Linked DNA regions of Sus scrofa. The protein of the gene in region 2 purifies or fractionates together with the protein of the main gene of each other region. This does not show direct contact. Links are inferred from orthologs where the notes say so. Each region holds a gene or a part of one and is shown on either strand. Other genes may lie near its edges.

Region 1 (7,081 bases), on a different chromosome or scaffold from region 2:
CTGATTGCTGCTTTGAGTTTTCTGTATAGGCAATCATATCACATCATCCACAAATAAATGGTTATATTTATTCACTCCCACTCTATGGCCTTAAAAAACAAGATCTTTGTGTACAGTGACCTCAAACATGACGCTGAAGGAGTGTCTGGTTCCCAGTCTTAGGGGAAGCCTTCCGTCCTCGCCCCTCCCATGATGTCGGCTGGAGCCTCTTTTGCTGAGGATCCTTCTCTTCCCAATTTGCTCAAGTGGGTTTTAGGGGCTTTTGTTTTTTTCTTTTTAGGGCTGCACCTGCAGGAAATGGGAGTTCCCAGCCTAGGGGTCGAATTAGAGTTAAAGCTGCCAGCCTTTAACCGGATCAGAGCAGGGTGTGCGACCTACACCACAGCTCACGCCAGATCCCTACCCACTGAGCGAGGCCAGGGGTCAAACCTGCATCCCCATGGAGACTAGTCAGATTCGTTTCCACTGAGCCACAACAGGAACTCCCAGTGTCTTTTGGTTTTGTTTTAGTCATAAATGGGTGTTGTGCTTTGTAAGATGATTTTTCTGCACTTTTTTGAAAAAAAGAATTTTGAGATATGCTCTCCATAGCATATAATCTAGTATTGTTGGTCTATTCAAAAGGTTCTTTGCTGCAGCTTTTGAAATGATCATGTAATTTTTCTTCTTTTGCACGCTGACACAATGAACTACACTGATTTTTTTTTTTTTTCCTTGAATGCTGGGTCAGACTTTTACTTCTGGAATACACCCAACCTGGTCATGATATATGCTTTTAATATATTGCCAGGTTTCACTTACTAATATAAATTATAGTCTGTACCTTATAATAACAGCTCCCTGAATATACTTTCTTATTGCTTTTGAGTAAACTCAAAATTCCTTAAACACTTTCATAAAACACTTCTAAGACAAAATTTGAAAGACCTTATAACTTACAGTTTATAAAATCACTTGGGGAGTTTCCGTGGTGGCACAGCAGAAATGAATCTGACTAGGAACCATGAGGTTGTGGGTTCAATCCTGGCCTCACTCAGTGGGTTAAGGATCCGGCATTGCCGTGAGCTGTGGTGTAGGTCGCAGACACGGCTTGGATCTGGTGTTGCTGCGGCTGTGGCGTAGGCCGGCAGCTACAGCTCCGATTGGACCCCTAGCCTAGGAACCTCCATATGCCGCAGGTGCGGCTCTAAAAAGACAAAAGACAAAAAAAATCACTTGGATTGTTTACAAAACACTCAAATTTGGTCTATAGATGAGGATAAAATGTGCATTACATGAACCCATCAAGGGAAAAAGTTATTTACATAATAATAAAAAAATAACACAGTAAGGGCTTTTGAGCTGACTGGCTTCCCTCTCCAGAATTCCGATGTAAAACACTGAAGGGATGCGGTATGATCACACGTAGAGCTGGTTTGAGCTGTAGTTACGTAACAAGCATTCATTTTCTAGCTATTTGCGTTCTAAAACAATACAAATAGGAAACTTTCCTAAAGGTGTCTTTATTCACATTTTACATAAGAGGAGAAAATGTCCGCTGTCCGCGTCCAGGAACGGGGACGCGAGAGCAGGAGTCCCTCCCCCAGAGTCGCTGCTCTACTTGGCTCGTTACGTGGGACATGCGGTTTCTGTTCCCGCATGGACCAGAGATCAGACCGCTGCTTTTAGTCCGTGAGAGGAAAGGAAATTCAGAAAGGTGCTCCCCACAAGAACATCAGATATGGAGAGAAAAGAAAGAGTGGACTGACCTTCTGCCCTTGAAAGAAACAGTGGAAACAAGAGAACTTCTCATCTCAAAGCAATTGATGTTAGTGAGAAGTGGGCAAAACGACACGTTTATCTTTTAGTTGTACGCTTTCAATGTCAAATGTACTTGATATCAGACATTTTAAAAAGTTTCTTGCATCTTAATGGTTAAAAGTGATGTTATTAAAGAAAAAATGCAAAACTTTTTTTTTTACAGAATAGTATAAATGTTTATTTTCTGTATGATTTCCTTTGCTGTCCTGTTTTACAATATAGAAAAGTGTATTCTTTGAATAGCTCTAGTAAATATAAATTTAATCTTTCTACTTTGGGATGTAAATAGAGCTAAAAAAATTATATACCCAACCCTCCCCCCAAATAGTCTTTTAAAATTGTTGAATTAATGCGGATATTAATCTTGTTCAGCAATTTGATGCAAATGCCTACATACAAAAAGTTTAGTAAGTACTACACAGGAAGGAAAGGCTTAATACTTTAGATAGATAGCTTCTTGAAAATCAGAAAAACTAGTAGCATTTGATTGCACCTTCAAATTTTTACAAGCAAAACATTTTCAAGCAAGGCTGTCATACATAATCTACAATTGTAATCCAAATTTCACAAACATTTTATGCACACTGTATATAAATACACATCACAAAGGTGCAATTAGAATTAAACACAGAGTATGTACAAAATGAACAAAGTTTAGGTTTAGACCAAAAAGGTATTGTAATCTTTTGAAAAATAACTTGATTAGATATTATTTTATCCTCTTACACTAATTTACATTTATACAAAGTTTAATTAAGTGTACTAGATTGAGGTGCTAAGAATGTCTGCACTATCTACATTTAAAGTTACTGCACTGTCATTTTATAAACCCAGGCTTCAAAGGAAGGTCCTTTTGGATCGCTTCGTTTCTGCTGCCTATATCTTGCATGTTCGTATGAACATATATACACACTTAATACATACAACTATAGATTCCTTGTAGGAAATGTAATAATCATATACTAATAATTACTGGGGATCAAGGTACCTAACAAAATGCCTGAATTCCAACATGGTTTTTTCCCATCATAAAATCCAGAGTCCTATTATAACAGGCTCTTAAATTCATAAAGCTTCTGAATTCTGAACTGCTGAAAATGATTTCGGTTATCTTAGTAATTATATGAGAAACTCATACCATTAGCTCACCAAATCACTGGCTAAAAATAACGCCGTGTTAAGCTTCCCGTAAAAAAGAAATCCCACTACAATTCTGAGAGCTTTGTTAGTTAGGAGGCCCATTTCAGTAAATCAAGTAAGAGTCATAACGTTGGTTTGAACCCTCTTAGTTCAAAAGTCTGTAAAGAGAGCTGTTTCTATAGATGAAAAATCCTCTAAATTCATCTCTTAGACCTTCAGTATTGATTTCTCCATCCAAGCCAAATCTTTACCCGATAAATAGGTAAGGTTCTGTTATCACTACATAATAGGTTTACTTCTATTCATATGCAAGGCTCATTTTAATAGTACCCCGTAACCACTGACAATTTATTATTCTGAATACATACCGCCTCCTTGAAAGAAAATGGAAATATCCCAAGCATTTCTTCGTCACTCCTTATATAGAAACAAACTGTCTGCCTTTGAGAATTATTTACTGTCCCTTAACACTGTATGTTTTTTTTTTAAAACAAACATAACTTTTTTATTTTAAAAGTGTGCCATGGATTACTTCCCCATCGGACCATTCCTAAAGTGACAACAGGGTATTATTCCAGAATCCACCCTAAAAAGTTGATTTTTCCTAAAAAGATAGTGCTTTTCTAAACACAAAAGGTCATGAGAATTTGTCAGTGGAGATAGTCTATCTGCTTATATTGTAGATCTAGCACCAAAGAATGACTGGCTAAATACCAAGGCTTCTTTGGCCTTTTCTCCTGGAACAAAGTCATACAACACCATACATTATAAATTATAGTAATTTATAAATGTTATTTGTCAATAGAAGCAGAAGGACAGAACATCTAGTTCTTAAGAATTCCAAGCCAATTAAAAATCTATATAATACAATAAAGAGAAACTCAATTTAGAAGGGAAATAAGCAGATTTAACTTAGACTTAAAATGTACTAATTTCCTCATTTAAAAAAATTTCTTCTCTTTCAATATTATAATTTCAGGTCTCACAAGGACTGAATTGCCAATACAGTCATTGTTGGACTAGCTTCCAGAAAATCCCGTGTCCCTGCACCTCCAGTGCTCTGCACAGTCCCTCCATCAGTCAGTCCTTTGTGCAGGAGTTAGCAATTCATGGCGCAAGGGTCCCGTTTTGCTTTTCCTGCAGAGTTGATGACGCTCATCAGACATCGTCCGAACTCCTCGAGTATCATCCGTTCGGCTGCTGCCTTTGATTCTCCCTTCTTGTCCGCCTGCTCTGCCTGGGCCAGAAGGCAGTTACACGTGGCTTCCGCCACCTCCTTGGTTACAAATGTAAACGGCAATCTGCAGTGATTTGGGGGAGAGAGGGGGACAGCGGTGAGGAGGCTGTGAAGAGCAGCCAAAGGGGCGGCCGTCTTCCACCTGGAACTCGGCCCACAGGTCCCTGCTCGGCAAGCACAGCGAGCATCGTGTTTGTGTGATGAACACAGCACACCCCAGAGAGCCTTTTAGAAGTCAGACTTGGTCTTATTACTGAACACACACACACACGTATTTTTTAGTCTTTTTAGGGCCAGGGGTTGAATCGGAGCTGTAGCCACTGGCCTACACCACAGCCACAGCAACACCAGATCCTTGGCCCACTGAGCAAGGCCAGGGATCGAACCTGAGTCCTCATGGATGCCAGTCAGATTCGTTTCCACTGAGCCGCGAAGGGAACTCCTGAACATATTTTTAAAATATAACATTTTACACAAAATACATATTACCTAGACGAGGTTACCTGGTTAACTGCAAGATGTAATTCTAATTCTCCACATTAACTGGACAGTTTTTCTGCGGCGAAAGTCCTCCCACCTCATGACCATCATGAGCTCACTGAGCACAGTTCTGTTTCATGTACGGTTGTTTCTCCGACACACATTCCATGAACATGTGCTGAATGAATGAGTAACACTGGGAACTGAAAGCGCCATCTCCTGGACAGCACCTCCCCCAGTCCCATACAGTGTTTGGAAAAAACAAGACACACACCAAAATCTGGCATTATTCCACGAGGACAAGACAAAATGGGGACACCGGATGCTGTTCAATACTTGGCAAGTCATCCATAAAGACCTGAACCACTGCGAATTAAAGCAGAGCAAACCCATCCCGAGGCCTCGCTCTGTGCTGCCAAGTCTCAAAGCCCACAGGGGCCGAACAGGCGACCAGTCTAACTGCCAACGCAACCACCTGTGAGCAGCCACCGGCAGCAGGAAAGTGCGGCGCAGGCTCGATGGGTCTGCAATCGCGGCCCACTCTGACAGAGGGCGGGGCAGGACTTGGGCTGCTGCGCACTTGGATAGAAATCTTTAAGGTACAAAAGCACTTTGAATTAGAAAAAGCTAGTGACACTACAATACTATAGTGCTCATTCATTATATAGTATTTCGAAAACTAGAGGAAAGCAGAAGGAAAGAATTCAAAATTCTTGCTGCTCAAAGACAAAAGCTTGTTAACATGCTGATAGAGCTTTTTATACAGTTTCTAAAAACCTCTTTTGACTACAGTGTATGACTTTGTGTCCTTTCACACTTGGTAACATCATAGCCGCGTTCCACAGGTGAAACTTCTCAGTGCAGCACTTTCTTCTCCACATGGAGATGAGACGAGCTAATCCGAGGCTCGCTGCGAGCAGACGACCAGCAGGGACCCTTCTCACCCCTCACTGCAGTGTCAGGCCATCTCCACTTCACTCAGTCAAGAGACTTGTGCGGAGGATATGCCAGTTATAAGGGTTCTTTTTTGTTTATTTATTTATTTTTGTCTTTTTGTCTTTTCTAGGGCCGCTCTTGCGGCATATGGAGGTGCCCAGGCTAGGGGTCAAATAGGAGCTATAGCCACCGGCCTACACCACAGTCACAGCAACGCCAGATCGGAGCCGCGTCTTTGACCTACACCACAGCTCACGGCAATGCTGGATCCTTAACCCACTGAGCAAGGCCAGGGATCGAACCCACAACCTCATGGTTCCCAGTCGGATTTGTTAACCACTGAGCTACAATGGGAACTCGGAGTTGTAAGAGTTCTTTGGAACTAATATTTGAAATATTTGGTACAAAAGCCTTACTTTAATAAATAGGATCTGATTTCAACTTGGGCATTTTAAATACAATACCATTTGCAAGGCTCATTCCACTTAGTAATTCTTCAAATTAACCTCCAACAAACTCTCTAATACAAATGCAAGTCAGCAAACGGGTGGCCCTGGGCCTGCCACACTCTGCTTGGCTCCTCACAGCCACGTTCTCACTGTGACATGGAGGATAAGATGACAGGCGGTGAGGCCAGAGAGACGGTCAGAGTCACAGATACCACAGGGCACAGGCCAGCGCGGGACTCACGTCCGCCAGACCACACCTCCGCCTCAGCCTCCGAGCGCTGCGGTCTAGGGAAACAAGGAACGGCGATGCCGGTGGGTGACAGGTGCCCCAGTGGGGTGGGCAGGGGCCGGGAGGGCACGGGAAAGGCAAGAGAAGGAAGCAGTGTGCAAAAATAGGAACAATGACACAACCAGTAGGAGGTGGAAAACTGGTTTTCTCTAGGGTTTGTCAAAGCACCTGCCACCTCATCTCAGTACGGAGACATCTAATTAAGTCGGGCAAGCCCAGGGGCTACAGCATGACTGTGCACTTCACCTTGAGAGCTGTGTGCTGAATCTGACAGTGGTCTTCTGTAACTTTCAAATTCCTTTACAAGTAATTAAAGATAGAAAATGCAGGAGTTCCCGTCGTGGCACAGTGGTTAACGAATCTGACTAGGAACCATGAGGTTGCAGGTTCGATCCCTGCCCTTGCTCAGAGGGTTAATTATCCGGTGTTGCTGTGGCTGTGGTGGAGGCCGGCAGCTGCTGTTCTGATTCCACCCCTAGCCTGGGAACCTCCATGTGCCGAGGGTTCGGCCCTAGAAAAGGCAAAAAGACCCCAAAAAAGTCAAGTCTGCAACAACCAAAAGTAGGAACCCAATTGTGCCCCCCCCACGATGTCACCAAAAAGGACTATTTATATCTTGCTGTGAAATACATTAAAACACTGACTTACTTTCCTCCTCCGCTGTTCAAAGCCGGCGTTGGCCTGGTAAGCAAGTCCGAAATCTGAGAAGATAACTTGGTCTTCGCTGCTGTCTGCTGCTGTACCCTTACT
Region 2 (7,743 bases):
GGCTCAGTCGTCTGTCTCCTGCTTGATGTTCTCGATGGGAACAGGCAGCTGGGGACTCGGGGCCTTGTCGGGCGAGGCCATGTCCAGGTGCTCTTCCTTCACGCGCACGGTGATGACTGAGGAGGGAGAGGAGCGCGCCTGACCCCGGGCAGGGCTCAGGGCCTGGCTTCCCACAGACAGGCCCTCGGCACCGGGCGAGGAGAGGCCCTGGCCAGGTGGGCAGGCAGCAGGGGAGGCCCCACCCTGCGGGCCCAGAGGAAAGGCTCCTTTCAGCGTTGGCTGGGTGTTTGGGAAGCCTGGGCCCAGGGGGCTAAGGGCGGCTTTGTGCCCAGCAAACCCCCTTCAGCCTGAGTCTGCTCTCCCGCGCCAGGTGGGGAAGGAGCAGGCCCGCCTCTGAGCCCCAGAGCCGCCGGCCGCCTGGACCCGCGCAGGAGGCTCTTACTCTCATCAGGAACGGGCTCCGACGAGATCTTCTCTGCGGCCTGCGGGTCATCCTCCAGCAGGGGCTTCTTGGACCCCTGTCTGAGGGGCCGGGTCTTGGTTGGTGGTATTCTTTTTCCTTTGAATAAAAACAGAATGTGGAGTTCCTGTCATGGCTCAGTGGTTAACGAATCCAACTAGGAACCATGACGTTGCGGGTTCGATCCCTGGCCTTGCTCAGTGGGTTAAGGATCCGGCGTTGCCGTGAGCTGTGGTGTAGGTCACAGATGCGGCTCGGATCCCACGTTGCTGTGGCTCTGGCGGAGGCCGGCGGCTACAGCTCCAATTCAGCCCCTAGCCTGGGAACCTCCATATGCCGCAGGAGCAGCCCTAGAAGAGGCAAAAATAAATAAATAAATAAAAACAGAATGAAATCCAGGTTGGGGCTGTATCCATGTGAAGTGCAAGGGTGGGTCTCCCCCCAGCGGGCAGGCAGTGCGGAAGGCCCCCACTGGGGAGGGAGAAGGCCCGACCTCTGACCTCACCTCTAGGACTGCCCGGGGCTCAGAGGTTTTCTCCAAGAAAAGATTAATTTCACGCACCCCACCTGTGGTTATTAAGCTGCCCTTTTCTTTTTCTTCTTTTGGCTGCTCTGAGGCATGTGGAAGTTTCTGAGCCAGGGTGGAACCTGTGCTACAGCAGCAACCGGGTCACGGTTGACAATGCCAGATCCTTAGCTTGCTGTGCCACAAGGAAACTCCAAGCTTCCCTTTTCTGATCCTTTTCCCACCTCTGAAGTGTGACTTTGCCAGCCCTTGGTTTTGAAGGGCACAGGGTCCTGCCACTTGATCAACTCCACACCCTCGCAGGGTCTTAATTCTGCCTGGGGACCAGAACTGCTTCCTCTCTGCATGGTGCCACGGCAGGGGCCACCTCTCCAGCCGAGAACAGCCCTGCCTGTGGAGATGTCCCCGGAGCTTGGAGGCTGCCCTTGCTCCCACCCGCTGGGGGTCACCAGGGAACACAACAGCCTTGGGGAGCAGCTTCCAGTCCTCTGGTACCTTTTAATTTCAAACCCAGCGGCACACATCGCCTCAGAGGCCACGGCTCCCCTTCTCTCTCAAATACAACCTCTTGTCCCTTTTCCTGGCCATCCTGACCACTGCCAAAGACCAAAGACCCCCTACTTATGATCTGGGTCCCTGAACACCCGGGGTGACTGACGGGCCCATTGGGCAAAAGGCGGGAGCATGAACCAGGCTACCTAAGAGGCGACCCGCCACCTCAGCTCCCCAGGACACAGGCTCAGCTGCTGCCAGGCCCCCGCCAGCCAGGCAGCTTTAGAGCCTCACTTACTTTTCTTCCCGAACTGTTTCTTTCTCTTCTTTGTGGCCTCTTTGGCCTTCAGAGGTGTGGTGGGCTCTGCTGTTGACAGGCAGGGACAAGAGGTGAGGCTCAGACACAGGCTGCAAGCACATCCCGAGACCCCTGCCCGCCCCTCGCTGGCCCCCCTTACGCAGGGACACCCCCAGAAGGAAAGCCAGAGCTGGGCAGTGAGAACAGGGAGGGGGCTGCGGGGAGGGACCGGAGCACAGCCGTCCCTTCTTCCCACCCCATGGGCAGGGCTCCCGGAGGGACCTGGGGGTTTACCTGGGTGCACAGGGGCACGAGCATATGACAGAGTGGGCAAGGTCAAGGAAGGAGCTCTGCAGGCCAGAGGGAGAGGGAGACAGAGAAGTCAGGGGGAGGGAGGCAGGGGCCACTCTTCTCGGAAGTGGTCCAGGAGCGTCTCCATCTCATGCCAGAGAACGAGGGGGACACAGGGCAGGGGGAGTGATTGGCAGGAAGGAAAAGGAAGAGCAAAGTCAAGAGCCGCTTAGGGCCGTGAGAGCCCAGACCTGTGGCCACGGGCGGCTGGAGCTGGTAGCCGGTGAGCTCACACCAGCCGACGGGGTAGATGTCCGGGGACTCGCAGTCCACCCACTGGTCGTACTCGCTGTCCCAGCCGTCGAAGTGGATGCTGAGGAGCCGATGCACCACCCGCTTCACGGTGGCCACACAGATGAGCCGGGGCTCCATCAGGTCCACGGCCTCCAGCTTCATGCCCACCTTGAAGCCGTGGTTGGGGCAGTCCTGGGGGAGGGAGCAGGGCAGGTTCCTCTGACCAGCGATCCCACCGCACTCTGTGCCCACACCACCCCCTGGGAAAGGGACCGGCTGAACTGCTCGGCTCGGGGCTGGCGTCGGAGTTTGCGGCCGGTCTCAGCAGCACAGACTCAAGGAAAGGAGTGGGAACAGGTAGGGCCGTCCCAAGGCCACCCCGGGCCCCTGCCTCCTGGTCCCCTCACCATGTTGAAGAGTCTCGATGGCGCCGCTTTCGCCTTGGTCGTCTCCAAGTAGGTCTCCCAGCTGAAAGTGTGAGCCTCGTACCCTGGAGCAGTGGAAAGTCCGGCTGAGGGCCGAAGGGGAGCCGGAGAGAGTTCCGCCAAGCCCCCCATGGCCAAGGGCGCCCACAGCTCGGTCAGGATCCAGCCCGGAGTCTCTGCAGGAGCCTTCTCCCTCCTCCCCTGGCTGGTACCTGCTAGGACCTGGTTCTGTCCTACAGGTGGTTGACTGCTCACCGAGCCACGTACCAGCCATGGGGCGAGCCAGCCCAGACCAAGGGCTGGTGGTGACCTCGGGTAGCTCTGTCACCTCTCCAGTCCTCAGGCAGCTCAAGCTCCAAGGTCTAGCAGGGTCTAGCAAGGCCAGGAATCAGGGCCTCCCCCTGCCCCTTCCGGCTCGTCTTACCTTTCGGGGGTGTAAGCTCGATGTCGTTCTTCTGGCAGAAGGTGGCTGGGAAGATGGCGTGGGAAGAGGCGTGGTAGCAGAACCAGTCCGAGCCGTCTGTGGAGGGCCCCCCGTCCACACAGATCATCAGGTAGCCGTCCAGGAGCACCTAGTGGGCGGTGGGGAGGGGGCGGGGCAGACAGAACACGGCCTCCTGAGCTGCACCCCCGGCCCAGGGCAATGGGGCCACGAGGCGGGTGGATCCACCTGGAGCCAGTTCTCAGCCGTCCCTGAGCCACTTCAGAGCACTGAGCACTCGTGCAGCCCGTAATCGTGGGATCTCTGGGCTTCCTCACTAGACAGCAAATGCTGTGCCAGCAGGAACGCCATCTGCCCTTTGGTCACTGGGTTCTCGGGGTGAGCACATGGGCCCAGCCTGGAGACGTGCTGGATGGACAATCGGCATGTCCCCCAGTTTGCTCCCCAGGCAGCGGTGGCAAGGTCTGCAGCAAAGCCAGCCAGCTGCGGCTTTTGGCCAGGCCAGCACTCAAAAGAGATGGCAGGTCTTGGCAGGAAGGCCCCCAGCGAGGGGACAGAGCCAGGCTCAGGCCAGGGCTTCAATCAGCACCTGTCCAGCCTGGCTCTGACCGCAACTTGAGAGCAGATGCTGAGTGAGGAGCTAAGGCTCCACTCAGAAAAAGCAGGTGCCAAAGAGCAGCCAGTACCAGGAAGACGGGATGGACACTGCGTGCCGAGTTCTGCCACCCCCGTGCCCGCAGGAAGCCAGGCGGGAGGCGGGGGCCTGCCCCAAGCTCACCTTGCAGATGGTTGCCACACAGATGTTGCCCAAATTCAGGGGGTCAATGGCCTCTAGCTTCATCCCCTCCTCAAACCAACCGCCTTCCGTGTAGACGGCTCGAACCTAAAAGGAACGGGGCAGCTGGGGAAACTCCGGGCTGGCCCAGGCGATGGGGGGAAGCAGGCCATGGTGTGCCATCGGCCTGGAAGGAAGCGAGGGGGCAGGAACATGCCAGGGAGGAGGCTGCAGGCCCGGGGTGGACGTGCAGCCAAGGGGAACGCGCCTGAGGGCTGGGCCTCACCTTCTTGAACAGGTAAGGAACAGCGTCACAGTAGATCTTCCGGAAGGTGGGGTGGTGGGCCATGTCGCTGCGCCTCTCTTTTAGGGAGACGACAGATGGGGAAGAGAGAAGTGAAGCTGCTACCAGGGCCACCTCCACGCCTCCCCCAGAAGTGTGGGGCCGCCTTGCCCAGGCTCTAATCCGTATCTTCGCGCCACCCCAGCACTAGGAGGCGGAAGGCCCAGGGCCTCTCTCTGGAGGGGGATTCAGCCCTTAAGACCCGGACTCTTCTCTTCCCACTTGACGTGGGAGAGGATGGGGCCTGTAGCCTCTGGTTTCAATCAGTTTTTATGCTTCAAGCCAAGTGGCCTTGGTCAAGTCCCTCGACCTCTTGGGACCCCTGGTCAAGCACGGCCACCCGCAAGGCACACAGTCACCCCACCGCTCAGCCAGACCCACGTTACCTGACAGCTTGATGCCGTGCCCGACACGCCGTGACCAACCCACAGGGTGGATCAGGGGGCTCCACATGTGGCACCAGAAGTCATCGTCGCTGTCGCCATCCTCGTAGAGGAGCCGTAGGCGACCCCCGATGACCGTGTCCACCACAGCCATGCGGGTCCGCGACACCTGGGACTTGTCCACCACCTCGAGCCGCATGCCCTGCCGGAAGGGGTACTTCATGCTCTCCACCATCTGCAACGACAGCACCAGCCTGCCGTGGCCACGCGGCCTCTCCCTGCTCCGTCTCTTCAAAGAAGCCAGAGGACGGGGCGGGTGCGGCGGAGGCGCCCCAAAGCCCAGGTCAGGAGGCAGGCAGGTGAGCCCTCCTGTCCCCAGGTTCAGCCCTGGCTCCAAGTCCCTAGGGTGACACTGATGACGTGATGGTCACGACGTGTGCGGGTAAGTCACGGTGACGGGACTTACAGTCACTTTCCAGACAAAGGAAACAGGGACCCAGGGAGGCGGGACTTCCTCAGAGTCGCACAGGCTCGCGGGTAGCAGAGCTGGGCTCCAAGGGCTCCAGCCTCGTGCTCTTTCGGGGACCTGCGCTCTGGTCACACGGGTACCCCACGTCCCCTCTACCTTCCGGCCCCCAGCTGATGGCGCACAGGCCTCGGGGTTAGAGAACCGAGCGCCCTTTGCCTCCGTACATCTAATTTCAGCTCCGGCCCGCTGAGCAGTGGCTCTGAACAGCTTCCACAGTGCCTCAGTCAGGATGCCACGTCTCTGACACTGCAAAAGACAGATGCCCACGAGCTGCTGCCCTGGGGGGACCCCTGGGGAGGAGCTGGAGATTCTGGAGGCTTTGGTGCTGTCCTGCCGGGGGTAGGGGATGGGTGACTAAGCTTTGTGGGGCTTTTCCAGCACCAGGGCGCTGCAGGCTCAGGTGTGGGGACTGAGCCGTGCTTTTCCAAATCCCCCCAGAAGGTCACAAAGCAGCCACCAGGACAGGGATCCTTCAGCCCTCAGCTCAAGGGCGGGAATACACCTGACCCATTTAGCAGATGGAGACGCAGGGTGAGGCCCGGGCTGGGGTCCCGGGTCCACCCCCACCTGGCCTTTTCTGACACGCTCCTTCCCTCTGTGCCTTCTCAGGGTGACCCTGACCCGACCCGACAACACCCTGGTTTAAGGCCACACGCTACGCTAGAACTCGAGGTCTGCAAAGGCAAAGGATAGGGTTAGTGTTTTAGCTCTGAGCGCAGAACGAGGCACAGAGGGCGTGCTCAGCTGACTTTTTTCTTGGCTGTGCCTACAGCATATGGACGTTCCTGGGGCAGAGATCGAACCCACACCACAGCAGTGGGCCGAGCCACCGCAGTACCACCACCAGATCCTTCACCTGCCGCACCACAAGAGAACACAAGAGAACACCCTGATGTTTTTTTTCTGACTGAACATACAAACACATGGATGATGGGCCTTCATTCAAACACTTGACGAAGTCCTTACCTACTGCAGGCATCATAGGGACCCCGCCCTTCTAATCTTTCCATCCCCACTTCTTCAAAGGCAGCTGCTTCTGCAGCCTCCAGCGTGCACTGCAGGGTCTGGGTACGTGACCCTGGGTACGTGCATGCTTGCTGACCGACTCAGAGCCCTGCTCTGCCACCCAGAATCAAGCTCCTTTTAATTTAAGCTGAGGTGAGGCCACCTGGATACTCCTAGCGGCCTGTGTCACCCACAGTCACCTGCCTCATCCTCAAACAAGGGCCAGCTGAGGATAGGAGACGTGCATCCTCAGCTGCCAAACTTGTCACCTGTGCAAAGAACTACAGGAAACAGAGGAGAAAAAGCTTACAGTTCTGTTGGAAAGAATATGAAAAGAATATTAAAACATAGAGGTAAATGACAAGTGAGTACTACCCACTAGGTTCAAATAAGAGAAAAACAGGTTTTTTTGGTTTTGTTGCTGTGGGCTGCCCTCGCAGCATACAGAAGTTCCTGGGCCACAGCGGTGCCCTGAGCCATGGCAGTGACAACACTGCATCCTTAACCACTAGGCCACCAGGGAAGTCCTAAAGTCATTCTTTGAGGTGCTTGGAACCGTTCCTCACTGAAGGCCAGTGAAGGCCCACAGTTCTCACCAGCGTCCGGGGCCTTGGGTGTGATGGCCCCCCACCAGCTTCTAGGCCGCCCACAAAGCAGAATTCAAAGCTATATTCTCCACGGAGCCCTCGGCACCTGCTCCTCCTCAGGCCACAAGACCAGTTCAATCACATGTCACAGTGGCGCCTGCCCTGCATTCCCCTGCTTGCTGCTGTGACACTTACCCAGGGTGACATGGGAACAACACATGTGAGCATCGGGGTCAGATGTGGCCCAGGCACCTACGTGAGCGAGCCGCACAACAGCAGGCCTGGCACACTGGCGGGGGGACCCTGCCTTCACTGTGTGGCCTTGGGAGCCCTCTGAATTTTCACCATGTGTGATTTTTTTTGTTAAGGAACTAAATAATTTTTAAAAATTGGAAATGCCACACAGATGAGTGAAGCACATCCCTGGTTCAGAATCAAGGCTATTTTGTAATTAGTCATGGGCATGACTTCATCTCTGCCAGACTGGAGAGTCCTCAAGGCAGGACTCTGTAGCTCTTGTACTGTGTCCAAGACCAGTGATCAGATCTATTGAATGAATGCTCCTGAAAATGCTCGGAGCAAAGGTAAGCATCTAGAAGAACAAACGGCAGACCACACAACATGACTGAGTGGCTGCCCTGGAGTCTGAACCAGGAGGAGGCTGATGGGAGGCTGGGAAGGCGGACGGCAGCCACTGTCCATCCTTTGGAAACCTGGAGCCGCTGAGACTGAGAGGCACAGGAGCAGCGCGAAGCCCAGATAAAACGGGAGGGCAGGAAGGAGATGAGTCGGGGACCCAAAGGGCTCCGGGCCAGACCTTGATGTGGAAATCCACGGGAAGCGTCCTGGAGCCCACCAACCGCTTCATGAGGTAGCCCTTCCAATCGGTGAAC

Evidence for each region. Proteins that work in one complex are often made in the same cells at the same time.
Region 1: the proteins of L3MBTL2 (region 2) and LIN54 purify together in Homo sapiens (affinity purification with mass spectrometry; 3 studies listed by BioGRID and IntAct, counting the BioPlex papers as one, with this or other methods). This does not show direct contact. The link is inferred for Sus scrofa from reciprocal best matches to the Homo sapiens genes L3MBTL2 and LIN54.

Annotation. Positions count from the first base shown.
Region 1 is NC_010450.4:135,393,143-135,400,223, reverse strand, and holds the end of LIN54 (protein lin-54 homolog), read right to left. Parts: coding exon 6,980-7,081; intron 6,021-6,979; exon of another isoform or gene 4,242-6,020; coding exon 4,040-4,241; 3' UTR 1,950-4,039; downstream 1-1,949. UniProt on the Homo sapiens protein: Component of the DREAM complex, a multiprotein complex that can both act as a transcription activator or repressor depending on the context. In G0 phase, the complex binds to more than 800 promoters and is required for repression of E2F target genes.
Region 2 is NC_010447.5:7,258,380-7,266,122, forward strand, and holds part of L3MBTL2 (lethal(3)malignant brain tumor-like protein 2), read right to left. Parts: coding exon 7,668-7,743; intron 4,965-7,667; coding exon 4,733-4,964; intron 4,367-4,732; coding exon 4,290-4,366; intron 4,112-4,289; coding exon 4,007-4,111; intron 3,359-4,006; coding exon 3,211-3,358; intron 2,852-3,210; coding exon 2,769-2,851; intron 2,554-2,768; coding exon 2,319-2,553; intron 1,846-2,318; coding exon 1,777-1,845; intron 584-1,776; exon of another isoform or gene 560-583; coding exon 443-559; exon of another isoform or gene 398-442; coding exon of another isoform or gene 371-397; intron 117-370; coding exon 4-116; 3' UTR 1-3. UniProt on the Homo sapiens protein: Putative Polycomb group (PcG) protein. PcG proteins maintain the transcriptionally repressive state of genes, probably via a modification of chromatin, rendering it heritably changed in its expressibility.